Linked DNA regions of Anolis sagrei. The protein of the gene in region 2 interacts with the protein of the main gene of each other region in a biochemical or structural test. Links are inferred from orthologs where the notes say so. Each region holds a gene or a part of one and is shown on either strand. Other genes may lie near its edges.

Region 1 (10,251 bases), on a different chromosome or scaffold from region 2:
TTGTGTGGTGCAGTGGTCATAGATGTTTCCAGACCTGGAGTGCAACACCAAAGGCAAATTCTTTAAACTATAGCCATTTAAAAGATGCTTCTGATGTGTATTTGTATTTTTTTTAAGATATACTTTATTTCATCCATCATCAGCCCTAGGTTTAGAGAAGATTTATCAATGTAAGAGGGAACTTCCTGAGTAAATGGTCAAGCTGGTATTCATTATTAAAGCCATCAGAAATTTAATGAGCAACTAGAGAGTCCACTGCAGCCAAATCATACTCCAGCGTGCTGCTGAAGTGCTACAGCCAGCATCTCCTGTCTCTCCAGAATTGCTTTGGGTAAAATACAGAAGTTATGGTGTTTGAAAATGTCTTTCTTTAAACAAGTAGGCAATGTAGTCTTTCATGGCCACAGGACTGGAACTGAGATGGCAGATGCTTTCATGAACGAAAGAGGCAAGGCAGGCCAGGCCAAATCCAGTTAGCTCTGAGCTTGCGCATAAAAGAAGGATAATTTTGTTGAGTAAGACAATAAGACCTTTGTTTCTGTTATTATTGATCTTATAGAGGACGCAGAAAGGAGTTGTCTGAGATCAGGCAAGAGAAAAACATCTTGAAAATGCTCAGACTAAAACAAAGTGGTTTAAAAATAGGGCTGGACTAGCCATTAAGCAGCATGAACCAACTGCTTCAGGCAACAGTTTTTAAAAGGAGACTCCTTTTCCTGAGTTTTCTCCATCAGTGTGCAATTGTACATACTTCAGAGCATTTCGACTTTTGAAAATTCAAGTTCAAAAACATTTTTAACATATAGAAAGGGCTATGCTTTCCTGTATACGTGTCATTTCAAGTTGCCTGCTGACTTGGTGGTGACCCAAGAATTGCCTAGGGTTTTCGTAGGCTGAAAAATTGTCTACTGACATTTGTTGGCAGTCTCCTGTCACCAGGGCTGAATCTGATTCTCTTCCAAGATCAGATGGGCGCATTTAGAGCATTTAGGCCACCCCTTTTGGCATCTATCTTGACCATATTATGCCTCTGTTAATTTACAATATTGTTCTGACATGTTATATTATGCAGGGCAAGGAAGGTGGTGCTTGAGGGTGGAAAATCCCAATGGATGTTCCCTCCCACTGCTGACCTTTTACTGACATTCCAGCAACTGGTCCAGCCCATGAATAGAGAGGGCAAATGCAGTGCAGGGGAGCTGTATGAAGTTTGTTCAGAAGAACATCCCAGCAACTTGAGCCTCATAGGTCAAATTTGTCTGCTTTCCACACCATCTGCCTTCACAATACCACCCATGAAGGAGATGTTGTCTTATCTCCTGGTAGAATGGGCTCTCTTATGAAATAATCTGGGATGTAGGGCAGGGTGTATAAAACAATGGAAGATTGAACTTTGGCTAAGTCTATGGTCATCACTCTGGTCAATTTTCCTTCCTTTTCAAGCATTCCCTATTTTGGTCTTCATTTTTCCCTCAGCTAGAAGAGAGCCAATGATGAAGACAGTGACAATTGATGCTGTTTATGGACAAGTGAATCCGCTCTGGAATTTTGTCTATATATCTATTTTGGAACAGGGTGTTGTATCTTGGTTAGCTCATGCAAATTTCAAACTAAAAGCCAGAGCAGATTTACATATGCACAAGCTCCAACAAGGAATCCACTAGCTAGTGGTTCCCAACTTGTGGTCCTTGCACCACTAGTGGTCCTCAAGAACAAAAAATATGGTCCACAGCCTCACCATTACTACACCATTGCAACGAGAGCAACTGGCCTCGCGAAAACCTCTTATAGTACCGAGGCTTATTAAATATGGTTTTCTGTGGGTGAGCAGATGGTGACTACTGGATGGCATATGTTCTGTATCAGAAACTAGAGCTGATATGGTCTATCCAATGCAACCTTTTGAATCAGCACCCCAAATAACCAAACCGAATCTAAGTTGACCAAAAACTGATTTGTAACCCTTTTGGTAGTAATGTTGGAGAGTGGTCCCTGGTCAAAGTGGTTCCTGTTCAAGTGGTCCCTTGTCAAGTGGTGCCTGTTTAGGTGGTCCCTGGTCAAATGGTCCCTGGTTAAAGTGTCCCTGGTTCAAGTTGTCCCTGGTCAAAGTGGTCCCTGGTCAAGTGGTCCCTAGTCAAAGTGATTCCTGGTCAAGTAGTCCCTGTTCAAGTGGTCCATGGCCAAAGTGGTCTTTTGTTCAAGTGGTCCCTGGTCAAGTGGTTTCTGGTCAAGTATTTAAAACATTTATATTCCGCCCTTCTCACCCCAAAGGGGACTCAGGGCGGAGCATATATATGGAAAACATTCAATGCCAGAACAATAATTAATTGTATGCATACATAAACATTCAAAACATTTATCTTGATATTTTCTTTACCCATGCCTGTCTAATGCTAAGAGAATATGACTTGCCCATGGTCACCTCATGAATTTTTATGGGCGACTTCAGCTCTCCAGATTTGGGAGTCCCACATGCAAACTACTATCTTGAGGAATTACCAAGCCACCTAAGGCCACCCGTAAGTTGCTATGATTGAGTTTAGATTCAAACGCTGGTCTCCAGATTCATTGTCCAAACACTCAGACTCCCTTTACACTGCTATATAATCCACATGATCTGCTTTGAACTGGATTATATGAGCCTACACTGCCATATAATCCAGTTCAAAGCAGATAATCTGGATCTTATATGGCAGGTAGAAGGAGCTTAGTTGGCTTCTATTTTGCATATCCTTCAGAAATCGGGTGTCCTAACAAATTTGTGAACATCCTGCGGCTCCTCCATGATGACATGATGGCAACAGTCTTGGACAGCAATGGTTCCCAAAGTGACCCATTTAAGGTGGAATCAGGTGTCAAACAGGGATGTATTATTGCCCCAACTTTATTCTCCATCTTCATTGCTATGATGCTTCACCTTGTTGACTGGAAGTTTCCCACCAGAGTGGAAATCATCTATAGGACAGATGGCAAGCTATTTAACCTCAGCAGCCAGAAAGCCAAAACTAAGGTCACAACACCATCTGTTATAGAATTCCAGTATGCTGATGACAACATCATCTGTGCGCAATCAAAAGAAGATCTACAAGCCACTCTATACACCTTCACAGAAGCATACGAGAAGCTTGGCATGTCATTGAACATCGAGAAAACCAAAGTGCTCTTCCAGCAGTCACCAGCCAATCCCTCTCCAATGCCAGAAATACAGCTTAATGGTGTGACATTAGAAAACGTTGACAATTTCCTCTCCCTTGGCAGCTACCTCTCCACAAAAGTCAACATTGACACCGAAATACGACACCGCCTGAACTCTGTGAATGCAGCTTTTTCTGAATGAAGCAGAGAGTGTTTGAGGACCAGGACATTTGTAGGGATACCAAGGTTCTTGTTTAGGGTTAGGGTTAGGGTTAGGGTTAGCGGCCGACAAGGCACTCTGGCATGGGCTGGTCCATGGGGTCACAAATAGTCGAAAACTATTGATTGAATGAACAACAACAAACTCAAAGAAGCTACCTAAGTTTGCTGGGTGAATAAGGTTCAGTCCCTTTTGAAAATGTCTTTAAATGTTAGACTAAAATCCTGATTGAATCACTACCATACTGAAATGGAATTCATCAGCCAGAACTGAGATGCAGTGAGGAAAAAAACCCCTATTATTCCAATTAGTGCAGGAGTCTGGACAAAGTCAGGAGTGAGAGCTAAAGAGCAACAAGGATCAGGGGAAAGTCAAGAGGCAGGACCAGAGAACAAGACAATGCTTGTTTCAGTTGGTTTTGTTAAAGGAATTATCCAAGGTGCTAAACCTATTTGGATTCACCAAAATAGATTTAGCACCTATGATCCAGACGTTTTCCAGCTTTCCAAGACCTAAATGACGTGTGGAATGGGGGAGATGATCGCAAATTGTGCCTTCTGGAGATCCCTGAAGACAAAATTCTCTATTTTTGGCTAGAAAACTTTAGTTTGCGCATATGGAAGGCAGAAAGACAGGGGCAATGAAGGGATCCTGTGAGAGCATATTATTAGACTAGATAACCCATTATTGTTGTGTGCTTTCAGTTTTTCTCCAACTTATGTCGACTCTATCATAGAATTTTCTTGGCAAGATTTATTCACAGGAAGGTTGCTTTTGCCTCTGCTGAAGCTGAGAGAGTGTGACTTCCTTAAGATCATCCAGTGGGTCTCTGTGGCTGAATGGTGATTCGAACCCTAGTCTTCAGATTCATAGTCTACTCCGAACTCAAGAACGGAGAACGGAATGTTGGTGGGCAGGAAAAGAGATTTAAAGATGGGCTCAAAGCCAACCTTAAAAACTCCGGCATAGACACTGAGAACTGGGAAGCCCTGGCCCTTGAGTGCTCCAGCTGGAGGTCAGCTGTGACCAGCAGTGCTGCAGAATTTGAAGAGGCACGAATGGAGGGCGAAAAAGAGAAGCATGCCAAGAGGAAGGTGCATCAAGCCAACCCTGCGGAAGAAGATGCAGATCAAGAATAGAGCTCCACAGTCACCTACGGATCTACTGCCAGTACACCAATCTTGGAAGACTATCCTACTTGGACAATGAGGGATCGCCTAAGAAACGTAAGGAAAAGTAGCATCTCCATAATGCAGGATCTTGAAGAGGGGACTCAAATTTCCACAGGAAATTCATTCTCCTTATATACAGGCAAATATTTACGGTATTTTTTAATCATTTTGCCCATTAAACAAAGTGTGTCCCTTGGACCATCTATAAGCAAAGGCATCACTCTTTCAGCCAACCATGCTGGAGCATTTCAGCTCTGGGAGAGTGCGTTTGAAGCGACTTCCACACCTTGATAGAGTTCCCCACCTTTGAGAATGAACCTTTGGGAGAATTTTAGAAGATAATATGGGAGTCCGTTGAAAATGCAAGGCAAGGCGGGTGCCTTTTTCGGCGGCGTGCTCGCCTTGGGGAAGCTTTGGCTGACGAGGAGAAAAGGGGAGGCGCTCCCCGCTCTCCGTGGCGTGGATTTGAAGCCACCCAGCCAGTGGGAGGAGAGCATTGATCGCTTTAATAATCATCATAACAGTAATCGGAATAATACAAAAAAAGGGGGCTGAGCTTCCCAGTTACAGAAAGCAGGTGCTGTCCGGGCTGCCTCTCAGTTTCAGCAACTGCTGGAAAGGCGGCGGCGGCAGCGGGCTCCGGGCTCCGAGGCGCCCCCAAAGCGCTCTACCGGGGCATGTAGAGGAAGAGTCCCGCCTCGGCTTCTTCTCTAGCCTTCGTCCTCCTCCTCTTCTTCTTCCTCCCCTCGGCTTCCCTCGGGGAACCACGACCATGGAGCAGGAAAAGAAGCCGCACCAGCAGCACCGGCACCGGATCGCGCTCCTCCTGGGCTTCTTGCTGCTGGCCGCGGTGAGTGGAAACGGGCCCGAGCGGCACCCACGGTCTACCCTATCCAAAGTCTACCCTTTTCTCCCTCCTGAAGGGGAAAGGAGAGAAGTAGGGAGCGAGTCTCAAAGGGGCGCAAATCCCCATTTCTGAGTGGTTTGTTGTGGGAGGCTTGCACTATTGCTTTGGAAAGCCCTGCGGGGGAATGATGGGTTTTTTTAAGGGAGTTTGTTGTTGTTTCTCCTCCTCTTCTTTTTCTACTTCTCTTCCTTCTCCCTCTAACACCACTACTTCTTCTTCTCCCTCTTCCTCCTCCCTCTACCACTACTATTAGTACTACTACTGCTTCTTCTCTTCCCTCTCCTCTCTCCTTCTTCCTCCTCCTTCCATCACCACCACCGTTGATGCTACTTCTCCACCACCTTTCTCCTCCTCCTAACTCTACTAACCCAATTTCTTCTCTTCTGCTTCTTCCTCCTCCCCTCCTCTACTTCCTCACTCTACCTCTACTTCTTCCTTCCTTCCTCTTCCTCCTCCTCCTCCTCCTCCTCCTCTACCACCCGTTTCTTCTGCTGCTGCTTCCTCCTCCTCCACCTCTTCTTCTTATCCCCTCCCCTCTTCCTCCTCTTCCTCTCCTCCTCGTAACTAGCATCCGTTTCTTCTGCTGCTTCTTCCTCCTCCTCACTCTACCTCTTCTTATCCCCTCCCCTCCTCCTCCTCTTCTTCCTCCTCTTTCTCTCCTCCTAACTCTACCACCCGTTTCTTCTGCTCCTTCCTCCTCCTCCTAACTCTACCACCCGTTTCTTCTGCTTCTTCTTCTTCCTCCTCCTCTTCACTTACTTCTTCTTATCCCCTCCCCTCTTCCTCCTCTTCCTCTCCTCCTAATTCAGCCACCCGTTTCTTCTGCTCTCTCTTCTTCTTCCTCCTCACTCTACCTCTTCTTCTTATCCCCTCCCCTCTTCCTTTTCCTCCTCTTCCTCTTCTTCTAACTCTACCACCCGTTTCTTCTGCTCTCTTCTTCATCCTCCTCCTCCTCACTCTACCTCTTTTTACCCCCTCTTCCTCCTCATTCTACCAACCGTTTCTTCTGCTGCTTCTTCCTCCTCCTCACTCTACCTCTTCTTCTTATCCTCTCCCCTCTTCCTCTCCTCCTCCTAACTCTGCCACCCCTCATTCTTCTGCTTCTTCCTCCTCCCCCTTCTCCTCTGTCTCTTTCTACCACCAGTTTGTTGCTTCTCTTCCTCCTCCTCCTCCTTCTAAGTCTACCACCAGTTTCTTGTCTCTGTTTTCTCCTCCTCCTCACTGCCTCTTCTTCTTTCTCCTCCTCCTCTCCACCTAACTGTCACCCGTTTCTTCTTCTTCTTCTTCTTCTTCTTCTTCTTCTTCTTCTTCTTCTTCTTCTTCTTCTTCTTCTTCCTCCTCCTCTTCCTCACTTTACCATTTCTTCTTCTACCCCCCCCCCCTTCTTCTCCCTCCTCTGCCTTTCTTCTTTCTCCTCCTTCTTGGATGCCAGAGCGCTCCAGGACGTGGTTGGCTCCTGGGTCATGAGTCCGTTTTGGGGTGTGTGGGTATCCTGGGTGAACTTTTTTGTGGGAAGTGAGGTTAAGGGGAGTGACGAGTCCTTCTCCCCTACTCAGGTTCCCCATGAGAAAGAGTGAGAGGAAGCGGGGAGGGGGGAGAGGAGGGGGATTTTGATGCGCCCCAAGACTGTCTATTCCTTCCAAACCAGTGCGGATGGTCCAGGAGGGGCGAAGGGTGGATGGGTGGGTCTTCCCGAGAACAACAACATGAAGAAGAGGGCATCACCACGCCTCCCACTTCTATATAATGGCATCCTTCCTCGGAGACACTATAAGGCTTGAGAGACCGGAGGGAAGGGCTGGGGAGAGTTGCCTTTGAGGCTCTCACTTCCTTAGCAATACTTGGATGCTGCTGTTTCCTACCAATGCTGGCACCAAAGTGAATCTCTAACAGGGCTTTCTTGGCAAGATTTCTTCAGAGGCTTCCTCTGAGGCTGAGAGAGTGTGCCTTGTCCAAGGTCATCCAGTGGGTTTCTAAGACTGAGTAGGGATTTCAAATCTGGTCTCCAGGGTCACCCTTCAAGCCAGGACACCACACTTTTAGCAGCAATACCAGGCAGATTTTTGAATATATTGTAATACAATGACATTTGTAATATTATAGCCTGCCTCTGTCATATTGGTTATCCCTACTAAGCAGTTGACCAAGCTGTTGATTGACCAGAGAGCAGTGAAGCAAATCTAATTGCTTTAATGGGTCTCTTCTAGCAGCAACTATTGTGCTTCCCTTTAAGGCAGGGGAAATATTGTGAGCTGGAGTTACAATCTGGGGCAAAAAAGTGAATGGAGATATTTTTTTAAAAAAACAGCTTCTATTTGAAAATGTCAAAGTGTGCCAGGGCTTGTGGGAGGGATGTATTTATGACTACAGTCCTTACACTTACTCTGGTCCCATTGTATTCAAAGGATTTTACTTTAGAGTAAATGTGTTAACAGATTGCTCTACAATATTTTGAAAATCCCAGCAAGAACTGGGAAAGGTGCTCTAGGGACTGAGGAATGGATCCAAAAATGTATCAAGGGAAAGAGTCTTTAATGCTCATGTTTGATATCTACCGATATTATAAATACAGTGTGATGCTGGACTTTGGACCCTGGGAATCAGGGTTCGAATCCTGCTCAGCCATGGAAACCCATTGGATGACCTTACAGCACTCACACCCTCTCAGTGTCAGAGAAAGGCAATGTTACCCACCCCCAGACAAATCATGCCAAGAAAAGCCTGGGATAAGTCTGTTTTAGAGTTGCCATAAATTGGAAATGACTCAAAGGCACACAAGAAGGAGAAGAATATACTGTGGACAGCATCACACTAGAGAATGAACCCACTTTAAATCTGGTTTCTGCCTTCTACAGAATTCTGAGCTTTGTAGTTTAGTGAGGTGTTAAAGGCTCCTCCCTAAACTACAAACCCCACAATTCGGCAGGAGGCAGCCACTGTATTTAAAGTGGATTCATCCTCTAGTGTGATGAAGTAGGGTTTTTTTTTAATGCAGAAGCATTACTTCAACCCTTAATTGTGATTATAAGATATCAGCATCACCATCACCATCTTCATCATTGCTATTGTGGAGCCCCCTTGTGCTGGCAGGTCAGCCATTCAAATCTGAGGAGTGGGGTGAGCTCCCACCTGTCAGCTCTAGCTTCTCATGCAGAACATGAGAGAAGCTTCCCACAGGTTGGTAACACATCCAGGCGTCCCTTGGACAACGTCCTTGCAGATGGTCAATTCTCTCACACCTGAAGCAACTTGCAATTTCTCAAGTCGCTCCTGAAAAATTGCTATTGTGTCAGTATCATTGTGGGATGCAAGGGAGAACAGGATGGTTACCCTATTAGAGGAAGTGTAAAGGTATTCATTATCTATAATGCAAGTGGAGACCAAATTCTTACCCATATTTCTTTTCCTTTCCGATAGATAAAGCAGGGTATACATAATAATAGCCACTCAACAACACTGTTTTTTGATTGGTTTAACCTTGATTAATTTGCAAGTGAGGCTAAACAGAGGACCTCGAATTTGTGCCCATAACTCTAGGCACACCCTAGGGCAGTTTGGCAGTAAAGAAAATCTATATATGATCAGAGGCTGCCTTTCCTTTGTTCCTATCACCTTCCTTTTTCTGGATAGTTAATATGAAAAACAAATGTCTAAGGTTAAGGCTTTGCTTAAATTAACATTGTTTGAAGGAAACAATGTAGAGGGATGTCACAGTAAGAGATGGGCCATGGGTTATGGGGATGATAGGCATTTGGGTTTGAATAGTTGAATGCAAGAAGCAGATGTCAGGACTTTACCACAAGATCTGGCATTATGGCAGGTATTTGAGAGGGAAGTCTTAGTTTCTATAACCAGGCATCTTTCTTAACATTATACTAAGAGTTCGGTAGAAATCAGGCAAAGAATTGGAAAACTTCGTTCTTGGATTACAGCTCTCAGAATCCTCCAATCCAGAAAGTCACTGGGTGTAAGAATCTGTGGGTTATAGCCTCAAGTTCATGGCTATGATGATGGGGGAATCTGGAAACTGTAATTCACAAAGTGACATTTCCAAGCTGTGATTCAGTTCTGGTATCCATTTTAAGGGTGCATTCTGAGGTGAATTAAATAGTCTTCACATGCTCACAAGCTGAGAATGTTTTGAGCATGTGAAGAGAATGTGTGCCAAATTTTTTTGTACCTCATAAACACAAGCAAGCCATACTAGGAACTCGGAGAAGAGTTTCTAATATGTGTACTTATATTTTGTTTTAAATATATATTTAAAACTCATACCACTGAGCTATGAATATCCAGAGCATCCTAGAGTCAGCTGCATAAAGTTTTCAAAATTATTCAACTGTGGTGGCGGCAGAGTAGAACAAGGCAAGAATAGAAAAAATGGATATGAATGACTTAGACCAGGGGTCCTCAAACTTTTTGAACAGAGGGCCAGGTGATAGTCCCTCAAACTGTTGGAGGGCCGGATTATAATTTGGGAAAAAAACATGAATTCCTATGCACACTGCACACATCTTATTTGTAGTGCAAAAACACTTAAAAATACAATAATTAAAATGAAGAACAATTTTAACAAATATAAACTTATTAGTATTTCAATGGGAAGTGTGGGCCTGCTTTTGGCTGATGCAAGGGGGTTGTTGTTGTTGTGTGCTTTCAAGTAGTTTCAGTCTTAGGTTGACCATGAGTGAAGGCTGGGTAAATGACCTTGGAGGGCCTTAGTTTGAGGACCCCTGACTTAGACATTTTGGATGTTCCATTTAATTCCTATATATTCATGAGGAGTAGATCAATAGGTACCACTTCGGCAGGAAGGT
Region 2 (10,259 bases):
GCAAAGATAACTGCAGATGCAGACTGTAGCCAGGAAATCAGAAGACGCTTACTTCTTGGGAGGAGAGCAATGTCCAGTCTCGATAAAATAGTGAAGAGTAGAGACATCAGACTGGCAACAAAGATCCGCCTAGTCAAAGCCATGGTATTCCCTGTAGTAACCTACGGATGTGAGAGCTGGACCTTAGGGAAGGCTGAGCGAAGGAAGATCGATGCTTTTGAGCTGTGGTGCTGGAGGAAAGTGCTGAGAGTGCCTTGGACTGTGAGAAGATCCAACCAGTCCATCCTCCAGGAAATAAAGCCCGACTGCTCACTGGAGGGAAAGATACTAGAGACAAAGTTGAAGTACTTTGGCCACATCATGAGGAGACAGGAAAGCCTAGAGAAGACAATTATGCTGGGGAAAGTGGAAGGCAAAAGGAAGAGGGGCCGACCAAAGGCAAGATGGATGGATGGCATCCTTGAAGTGACTGGACTGACCTTGAGGGAGCTGGGGGTGGTAACGGCCGACAGGGAGCTCTGGCGTAGGCTGGTCCATGAGGTCACGAAGAGTCGGAGACGACTGAACGAATGAACAACAACAACAAGCTGTTCTTGCTTCCAGTTCCTGTGTGGCATAGTTTGGAGTCATGTAACCTTGCCTTTGGATATCTCTGTGGATTGACTTTGGAGACTTTCTTTTAATAAATTTTTGGACTCTCAGCATTTATGGAAATAACATTTTGAACTTTGATTCTCTCTTTTGAATTTGCTTGCTTTTTATATATTCTGCCTTTAATAAACTTTTACTTATTGGATTATATGGACAGTGTGTGGTTTGTAGTGAAAAGAGGCTTCAGGGCCCTAGTGAAACAGCAGCAATGGCAGCAACAACAGCAACAATCGACACAAACAAGTGTGGCTATCCAGTAGTAGAGCCTAACCAGGCTAAGCCCAACTGGGCAATCCAGACTTAATCCTGCTACTGCACAACGAAATGGGAAAGAGGAGGGTTCAATCTGGAGTACTGCCACTCCAGATTTAGGACATATTAAATGGCTCTTATAGAGGGACCCATCATTATCACTTTAGGGCGGAAACTAGCATGGTATATAGGTTAGACCAGGGGTCCTCAAACTATGGCCTGGGGGCCGGATACGGCCCTCCAAGGTCATTTACCCGGCCCTCGCTCAGAGTCAACCTTAGTCTGAAATGACTTGAAAGCACACAACAACAACAACCATCCTATCTCATCAGCCAAAATCAGGCCCACACTTCCCATGGAAATACTAATAAGTGTATATTTGTTAAAATTGTTCTTCATTTTAATTATTATATTGTTTTCATGTGGTTTTTGCACTACAAATAAGATATGTGCAGTATGCATAGGAATTCATTCATGTTTTTTTCAAATTATAATCCGATCCTCCAACAGTTTGAGGGACTGTGACCTGGCCCTCTGTTTAAAAGGTTTGAGGACCCCTTGGGTTAGATTATTAGATGAAGATGGAGCTCTCCCGCACCTTGAGCTTGATTTTCTTCACAAGGCTACTTTGACCTTCTTAGAGAAAATAAAAACTATGACTGTTGCAAGCAATTAATTAACCAACCAACCAACCATTACCACACTTTCTTGAAGGCACTTGTACAGTATGTATAGGCACTATGTAACAATAAGACAATACACCCACATGGAGACAGCACATCCTCATTTGGAAAGGGTTATCATTAGCAATCGCAACCTCATTATATTTCACTTGGCGTGATGCAGTCTTGAGGCAATATAAGCAAGTTAAACACTTCAAAACTATAAAATAATTACAATACATTTTAAAAGAGCTTAATCATCTTGAAAATAGGTTTAACAGGTTAGAACAGTCTAAAACCTAGTGCCTAAGTATCTTAGAGTGAGTCACTTACTCCCCAAATGCTTCTTATATTAGTCATGTTGATATATGGCACCTATATAAAGTTTTAATTGGCACCAGGTAAAGGCATTCCACAAGTGGCATATTACAAATGAGAAAGCCTCACACAGCATTGATCATATCAATGGGATACATAAGAGATCCCTTCTGGCAGGCTCTGTCATTGGGCAGACATATATAGAGATGAGTACTTCATTTCCCTGTATGTTTACAATAAGCATATTTAGGCAAAATCTAAGGAATAGCCATTAAGCTTTATGGAAGGGTGACCTAAGTGTCTGCTGCACTCAGTATGTGAGTAATGTCCAGGCCAGGCATGTATACCTTTCACACTTTAGTTGTGAGCTCTGTAAAGAACACTGTAAAGAATAATTTATTGCCTTGTTATTGATTAATTGTGCAATATGCTATTACTTATGCATACCACTCTGTAATTGACAGGCGTAGGCATAATTGGTTTACCCTGGCATGAACTTTCACAGAGGGTTCTTTGCTTTCTCTTATGCCTTGTTATTGATGAATTGTGCAATTTGCTATTACTTATATATACCACTCTGTTATTGACAGGCATAGGCATCATTGGTTTACCCTGGCATAGCTTTTGCAGAGGGTTCTTTGCTTTCTCTTATGCCTAAAGTGCACTGAGTTTCTTTTTCAATATTTTGAAACCAGAAGAAGGAGAATCCTGCCAAACTAAGGCAAGTTTGCTACCGGGCACAATTCAAAGTGCTAGCTTTAGCCTATAAAGCCCTAAACGGTTCTGGCCTAACTTACCTGTCTGAACTCACCGTCTCCTCTGAACCAGCTAGGGTGTTAAAATCGTCTGGGGAGGCCCTGCTCTCGGTCCCGCCAGCGTCACAAGTATGTTTGGCGGGGACGAGGGACAGGGCCTTCTCAGTGGTGGCCCCTCAGCTGTGCAACGCCCTCCCTACAGATATTAGATCACCCTCCTCCCTGTTGACATTTCGGAGGAAAGTGAAGACCTGGTTGTTCGAGCAGGCATTTGAATAGGCAGTGTAACGAACATAGGAATATGGAACAATTGGATTATGAGACTGGATCTTGATTTTAACTATGAGACGCTAATGAGATGTTTAATTGACTTATATTGACTGTTTATTATGCTATTGTTTTAATTGTTTATAACTGTTTTATGATTTTTTGAGCATTGCATTTTGCTATTGTTAACCGCTCTGAGTTGCCCCAGGGCTGAGAAGAAAATATAGTAAATAAATAAATAAATTTATTCTAGAAAGTATGGATTTATAATCTATGTATCTTGGCTTGCTGATGGTGATTAGCAATTTGTGGAAAAAAATTATTTTGACATTATAAATTAATATAATGTCCCAGCTTTTTAACGTCAGCTTGTTACTATTATATTGGTTGCACAGTACAGAGTCCCAGTCTCCCAAAAGTAACAATATTTATTATAACTGTTTACATGTCACCCTTTTAAGTTTTTTATCAGAAGTTTGCTTGATCATCTAATTCAACATTCAAACAGAGAATTCTCAGTTGGCACTCAATTGCTTTTCTGACAGTGGTAGTCCAATATCTCCTACTGAAAACTGTGCCACTACTGATAATCCCATTATTACCATTTCCCTGCATTACCCTTCCTCTTTCACCCTGCTTTCCTTCCAGCACACAAATATTTTGACTCCCTCTCTTGCCTTTCAGTTTGGCTGCCTATGCCATCTATTCTTACATAGAAATATTGGCACATGGTGCAGCAGCAGGATATGAAGAAGGATGATAGAAGAGGAGGAGGTAGTAGAAAGTTAAGGTCAGGCACCCTCAAACTACAACCCTCACTCCAGCTGTTTGTGTCTCTAGCTCCCAGAATTCTTGACTATTGAACAAGCTGGCTACGGCTTAGACTCATAGAATCATAAAGTTGGAAGAGACCTCATGGCCATGCAGTCCAACCCCCTGCCAAAAAGCAGGAAAATCACATTCAAAGCACTCCTGACAGATCGCCATCCAGCCTCTGTTTAAATGCCTCCAAAGAAGGAGCCTCTGCCACACTCCGGGGCAGAGAGTTCCGCTGCTGAACGGCTCTCACAGTTAGGAAGTTCTTCCTAATGTTCAGATGGAATCTCCTTTCTTGTAGTTTGAAGCCATTGCTCCATGTCCTAGTCTCCAGGCAGCAGAAAAAAAGCTTGCTCCCTCCTTCCTATGACTTCCCTTCACATATTTATAAATGGTTATCATGTCTTCTCTCACCCTTCTCTTCTGCAGGCTAAACAGCTAGAGGATGCCTGGTTATGATAATAACTCAGCCAATGAGGCAGGAGAAAAGAAAATGAGGGAGAAGTACAAGGGAACTTTAGAAAAAGAAAGGAGTTGAGGATGGAAAGTGTGTTTGGTGGTACCATGTAAGGAAACAGATAAATGAGGATGTGCAGGAGATGTGGTGAGTTAAAAGGGAAGGCGATCAAGCAAAAAGGGTGGTTGTCAGGCAATGAGGAAAAGAAGCAGCACAATTCACAATGTCCAGTGCTCTTCTTCCTCCAGCAAATCAATGAATGGCAAGAATAGAAATGACTTAGATCTTATTACACCACTAAAGTGTGATTTCTATAGGCATAGTATCCTTAAAATTGATACATGTCGTTTCCATGATTTCACTTGTTCACTTCGGCCTCCTGTACAAACTACCACTTCTTTTCAGCATCTCTAACATTCACAGGAACATACCCACCATGGATATTGGAGGGGATTGTCCTGTATTTCACCCCCCACCCCATCTTCCTTACTAGTACTTGCTTGGCCTCTGTCCCTCACTTTTTCCCCTCCGTGATGCTGCAGGAGGAAGACAGTGTGGCACAGAGTGAGGGAGCAACAAGGGAGTGTTTCACCATTGGCAGTGCTGTGCCCCCCCCCCCCCCAAGGATGAAAACTGGAGATAGCAGCAATAATGGTTCTGTAGGAAATGAAATTTTGGGGAACTGATGCCTTAGGGTATTTGGGTCCAGTTTGATCTTGGCAACCCAAAGAGAAACTGGATTGACTCCACTGAATATGTCATTTCTGCAAATAGCCCTGTTTCGAATTCAAATTTCTTCCCAAGAAGATCCAAAAGCAAACAAAGGTGGTGGCTTTGTACCTTGGTGTGGGGGCTGCTTCTTGGGGGGAGGCTGCCAACAAGGAGCAGATTCTTTAAGGGTTGTTTTCAGTGTTACAGATCACCAAAACGAATGGGCTTGAAACCCTTGAGGAAGTACACTGTTTCTTCCAAATACCATATATGTTTTTTCCATGTCAAGCATGACTTGAGAAACTGCAAGTTGTTTGTGGTGTGAGAGAATTGGCTGTCTGGAAGGACATTGCCCAGGGGGTGCCTGGATGTTTTGATGTTTTAGCATCCTTGTGGGAGCCTTCCCTCATGTCCCCGCATGAGGAGCTGGAGCTGACAGAGGAAGCTCTACCCACTCTCCCCAGATTCGAACTACTGACCTGTTGGTCATCAGTTCTCCTGGCACAAGGGTTTAACCCATTGTGCCACTGGGGCTCCCAAAGACCAATTGAAGGCACATGTATGTATACTGTATACCTTGTAGAAGGAAGGCAGTTTGACCAGAGGTCAGCTGCCATGGCTCCTTGCTACTGGATTTTAGTTGGGTGAGCCACCAGAGAAGGAGAAAGACTTTGTGAAATGTAATGGTATAGAACACATCGTCATGGCAATGAAAGTGGGGTTAAATTGCATTCATCCGACAGTGTAGATCAGGCTTGGGCAAACTTGGGCCCTCCGGGTGTTTTGGACTTCAACTCCCACCATTCCTAACAGTCACAGGCCCCTTCCTTTTCCCCCTAGATGCTTAAGCTTAAACCTGTTAGGAATGGTGGGAGTTGAAGTCCAAAACACCCGGAGAGCCCAAGTTTGCTCAAGCCTGGTCTAGATGCCCTCGTAGGCGATTTCAACCAGACAGTCCTGGTGTCCGGAGCTTGTTGCGGATAAGCGAAGACCTGGTGCCAGGTCAGGCACGATGGGCGTGGACGGCTGGGTGGGTGGACCTCGAGGCGTCGGGGAAGCCCCGTGGGCGGCTGCTGTCCCTCCTCAGGAGACAGGAGCCGGGGCCCCTCGCCCGGTATGAAAGCGGGGCGGGCGGGAGGAGGAGGCGGCAGAGAGAGGCAGGCGCTCTTCTTTCTCTCCCGCGACGTGTCCCGCGCGCCTTCCCTGGGACTCACTCAGTCAGAGCCGGCCAGCGAAGGAAGGAGTGAGTGAGTGAACGAGCGAGTGAGCGGCCCTCGGGGGAATCTTCCCGCGCGAGTCTGGGCAGCTCGCTCCTCGGCTTTGATGGCGCTAGGACCCAGGCGGAGCGCGAGCGGGAGGCCGAGGGAGAGCGCCCCCGGGGCTGCGTGAGTCAGTCCGACCGACCTACCGTCCGACCATCCGTCCGAGGAGCGCCGTCGGAGTCGAAGGGCAGCGCGCGGTGGATGAGGCTGGGGCGCGCGGTGGCGAAGTGGATGGCTCGCGGGCGCCGGGGGAGCGGCTCGAGGGTTCGCGGAAAGCGGGGCGGCCACGGAGAAGAGAGCAGCACCGGCACCAGCTCCTCCTGAAGGGGATCTCTCTCCACCTGCCCGCCGGAGGTGAGTGAGTGAGTGAGCGAGGGAGGGAGGGAGTGGGACCAGCACAGCCTGGGCGACTTGTGCCCCCGGGCAAACTCCAAGGGCGCCTCTTCTGTACTGTAGTCGAATGAATGCCGTTGAATGGGCAACACTTGAACTGCCCTTGAACTGGCTCGGGGCTGTCTTTCGCCTTTCAGAGATTCCAGACCACACATCCCAGGAGTGCCAAGCCTCTCCTTGGGGCCCTAAGCCACCCTTGGGAAATTGCTCCTTTTCTGTCTAAGGTACAGACAATACAGTTGGGAACTACATTATGGCGTTAGTGTAGGATCTATATACAGTAGAGTCTCGCTTATCCAACCTTCCCTCATCCAACATTCTGTATTATCCAATGTAGTCTGCTTCCTGCCCTGATCCACAGCTGTTTCAATACATTGCAATGTTTTGCTGCTAAATTCGTAAATATAGTAATTACTAGAAAACGTATCATGTACTGAACTGCTTCTTCTGTCAATTTGTTATAAAACATGTTTTGGTGCTTAATTTGTAAAATCAGAACATAATTTGGCATTATATAGGCTTTTGCTTAATCCCTCCTTATTATCCAACATTTTCGCTTATCCAGCATTGTTCCGGCCCATTTATGTTGGGCAAGCAAGACTCTACTGTAGTTGCATGCAGTTAAACTGCATTATATGGGTCTACACCACCCATAATCAGCCTTCCATGTGTTCTGGACCTTAACTCCCTTAATTCCTAACAGCCGATGGGAGCTAAAGTTGGGCCCACTTTCATCTTGGCAACCCAAAGAGAAACTGGATTCACGCCACTGAACATGCAATTTCTGCAAATGGCCCTGTTTCAACTTCCAAGCCCCATTCCCAAGAAGATCCAAAAGCCAACAGAAGTGGTGGCTTTGGAGCCAAGGAGCAGGTTCTTCAGGGGCTGTTTCCAATATTACAGGTCATCAAAACGAATGGGCTTGAAACACCTGGAGGGCCCAAGTTTGCCCATCCCTGGTCTATACTGACGCTATAATGCAATATCCAAATTGCAATATCTGGCAGTGTAGATCCAGGCAAAAATCCCTGGTTAAAAAGTCCCGCAGCCTCTATTAATAGCTCCAGGAGGGGAGTCTGGAGGGTAGGTTTGTTGTAAACCACTTTGAGTCCCCCCAGGGATAAGAAAAGCGGGATATAAATACAGTAAATAAATAACATAAATAGATTTGCAGCAGGCCTTTGCTAAGTGCAGGGTTCGTTTTCCAAAAACCAAGGGCACGAGAAGCCCATATTGATGCCATTAGTATGAAACACCACGCATGAATGTGACCTTCTGCTGTAAGTCAGTGCAAGATTGCCACTCTTTCCTCCTCTCCTTTACAGTTTTTAAGACAGCAATAGACACTGCATTTCTAAATCAGTTGATTCTCCCTCTTTTATCCCTCAAGCAATGAACTCCTCGCTGTCTGCCTAGCAGGGGCAGGATGGAAACGGATGGTATTCATTGATTTATGCTTCAGGACTGGGCTCTGTGTGTGAGTGAGTGTGTTTGACACCAGACAGTGGTTGAAAGAGTTGAAAGGGAGGGGGAAGGATAAGAAGAGTTTTGAATTTGCAGTTTGTTGGAAATTGGTGGCATTATTTCTCCTTCCACTGAACCTCAGAGCATTTCCATGTTTTCTCAGAATATTTGGAATTTTAAGAACAAATGCCTAAATAAGAGTGTGCTTGTTTGCTATGTGCTTTTCTGCAGTGTTGGAACTAGGAAAGTTTGCAGACATCAGAGGGTACTGGTGGAAAACCTTTTGTGGTATGAACTAAGGCTCTGTGTATGATTTCTTGTGTGAATCCCAGTAACAAAGTCTCTTCTGTTGACCTGAGAAGTTGCTAAAACTTTGAGATCCTGGTTGTTTTTGTTCTTAGAGATTTGTTCTTAAACTCCTCCTGACAGCTTCACTTGTGCAGATGCATTAAAGCCACCTGGTTTCAGTGATGTCTTCTGTTTGGTCAACAACTTCATAATTGGATTGTTGTGAGTTTTCCGGGCTGTATGGCCATGTTCCAGAAGCATTCTCTCCTGGCATTTTGCCTGCATCATTTTCCTAATTTCCAACAGACTCCAGAACCTCTGAGGATGCCTGTCATAGATGCAGGCAAAATGTCAGGAGAGAATGCTTCTGGAACATAGCCATACAGTCTGGAAAACTCACAACAACCTAGTGATTCCGGACATGAAAGCTTTTGACAATACAACTTCATAATTAAATGATTCAACCGTGATGACCTTTCTGTGTCATTGCATAGATAGAGTGCTGCAGTGAAATGAAATCTATAGACTGTAGTAAAATCACATCATGATGGTCCATGGAAGTATTATCTGAAAGATCTTAAACCAGGATAAATAAGTGCCAGGGGCCAGATGAGTTAGATGAGACACATGCCTTGGCGAAGAGAACGGGGACCGTAATCTCCACTTTCTGAATCACTGCTTAACAATCCAAGGAACATCTGGAGACATTGCTCAGCGATATAGTCACTTTCAAAGGGGTATGTGGAATTGGGATAATGATTATTCAACAACTTCAGAAATGCAGGGAACTCGCCCTAAAGGGACAGAATCTGTTTCATGGTAGAAGTCATGTTGACGGCTGCTCATTACTCCATCCCAGCACTAGATCAGCTCCGAGTTCACAGTTTTGCTTAACAGCATTCACCTGCTGCTGCTGCCGCCTCTTCTTGGTGAATTGATTTCAGATTCATTTAAAACATTGCCAGGAGCTCAAGGATTTTTCATCGCCCCATAAAAATGCTTTTATGGCCTACAGAGCCAGTCCCAGTTTTAAAGAAGGAGTATTTCATATATGCATTACATTGTCAGAGTTTAGATTCAAAAAATCTAGCCTCGTTCTGTGTTGATGTTACCTTTCTTTTATGGAACAAAATGAAGGCACAAATTAGAATGGTGTTGTCTGCTTAATGGGATAAAAATTACTTTGATAATGGTTTGCTGTGAATTTTCTGGGCTGTATGGCAAGGTTCCCGAAACATTCTCTCCTGACGTTTCACCCACATTGGCAGGCATCCTGAGGTCTGTTGGAAACTAGGCAAGTGGCATGTCCATTTGCGAACTAATACTTTGATATCAGTTTGTAATCACTCAGTAGACATCAAAATTATGTTGTGTTGCTTTCAAAAGAAGCAATGTTTCTTTCAAGATTCCTGTACATATTCATTATTTTCAGTTTAAGAGCTGAAATGTACTGTCTTGTTAGCACTAATGTATTTAGTCCTTCCAACCCCCAATTGAGGGGGGAAATGTTGCTCAAATGTCATCAAACAAAACTTACAGATTCTGTCACATCATTGGTTCAGTTTGTGGTTGGGAGGATGATGTAGTGTCTTTCCCAGAGCTCCAAACCACCACTTTCCATTTTTCTGATTTTTTTGGAAAAAAAGGTATCATTCCATTTAAAGCAATGGGGACCTCTGCTGGCAATTCCAATCTAGCAAATACACGCTGAGTGCAGTAATCTGATAAACATGAATTGTCCCTGATTGGTTTAATAACCTCCATTAAAGAAAGTTACAAAATGCTAAGTAAACATACCCAGAAATAAGTTGCATTGACATTAATGAGGTTTGCTTCTGAATAAATGCACTTATAGGGATTGAGCTGGAGTTTTTTTTTATAAACATTATTTTTTAAAAAATCTCTCCAGATGTGTTCTTAGGTTTTGTGTGGAACTGCGAGGCAGATTCTTTACAGATAAGAT

What was found. The genes of interacting proteins can lie anywhere in the genome.
Region 1: the proteins of NGF (region 2) and NGFR form a complex in vitro, tested with the Homo sapiens proteins (2 studies listed by BioGRID and IntAct, with this or other methods). The link is inferred for Anolis sagrei from reciprocal best matches to the Homo sapiens genes NGF and NGFR.

What each region holds. Positions count from the first base shown.
Region 1 is NC_090026.1:32,148,747-32,158,997, reverse strand, and holds the start of NGFR (tumor necrosis factor receptor superfamily member 16), read left to right. Parts: upstream 1-4,984; 5' UTR 4,985-5,299; coding exon 5,300-5,377; intron 5,378-10,251. UniProt on the Homo sapiens protein: Low affinity receptor which can bind to NGF, BDNF, NTF3, and NTF4. Forms a heterodimeric receptor with SORCS2 that binds the precursor forms of NGF, BDNF and NTF3 with high affinity, and has much lower affinity for mature NGF and BDNF.
Region 2 is NC_090024.1:203,801,916-203,812,174, reverse strand, and holds the start of NGF (beta-nerve growth factor), read left to right. Parts: upstream 1-5,967; 5' UTR 5,968-6,505; intron 6,506-10,259. UniProt on the Homo sapiens protein: Nerve growth factor is important for the development and maintenance of the sympathetic and sensory nervous systems.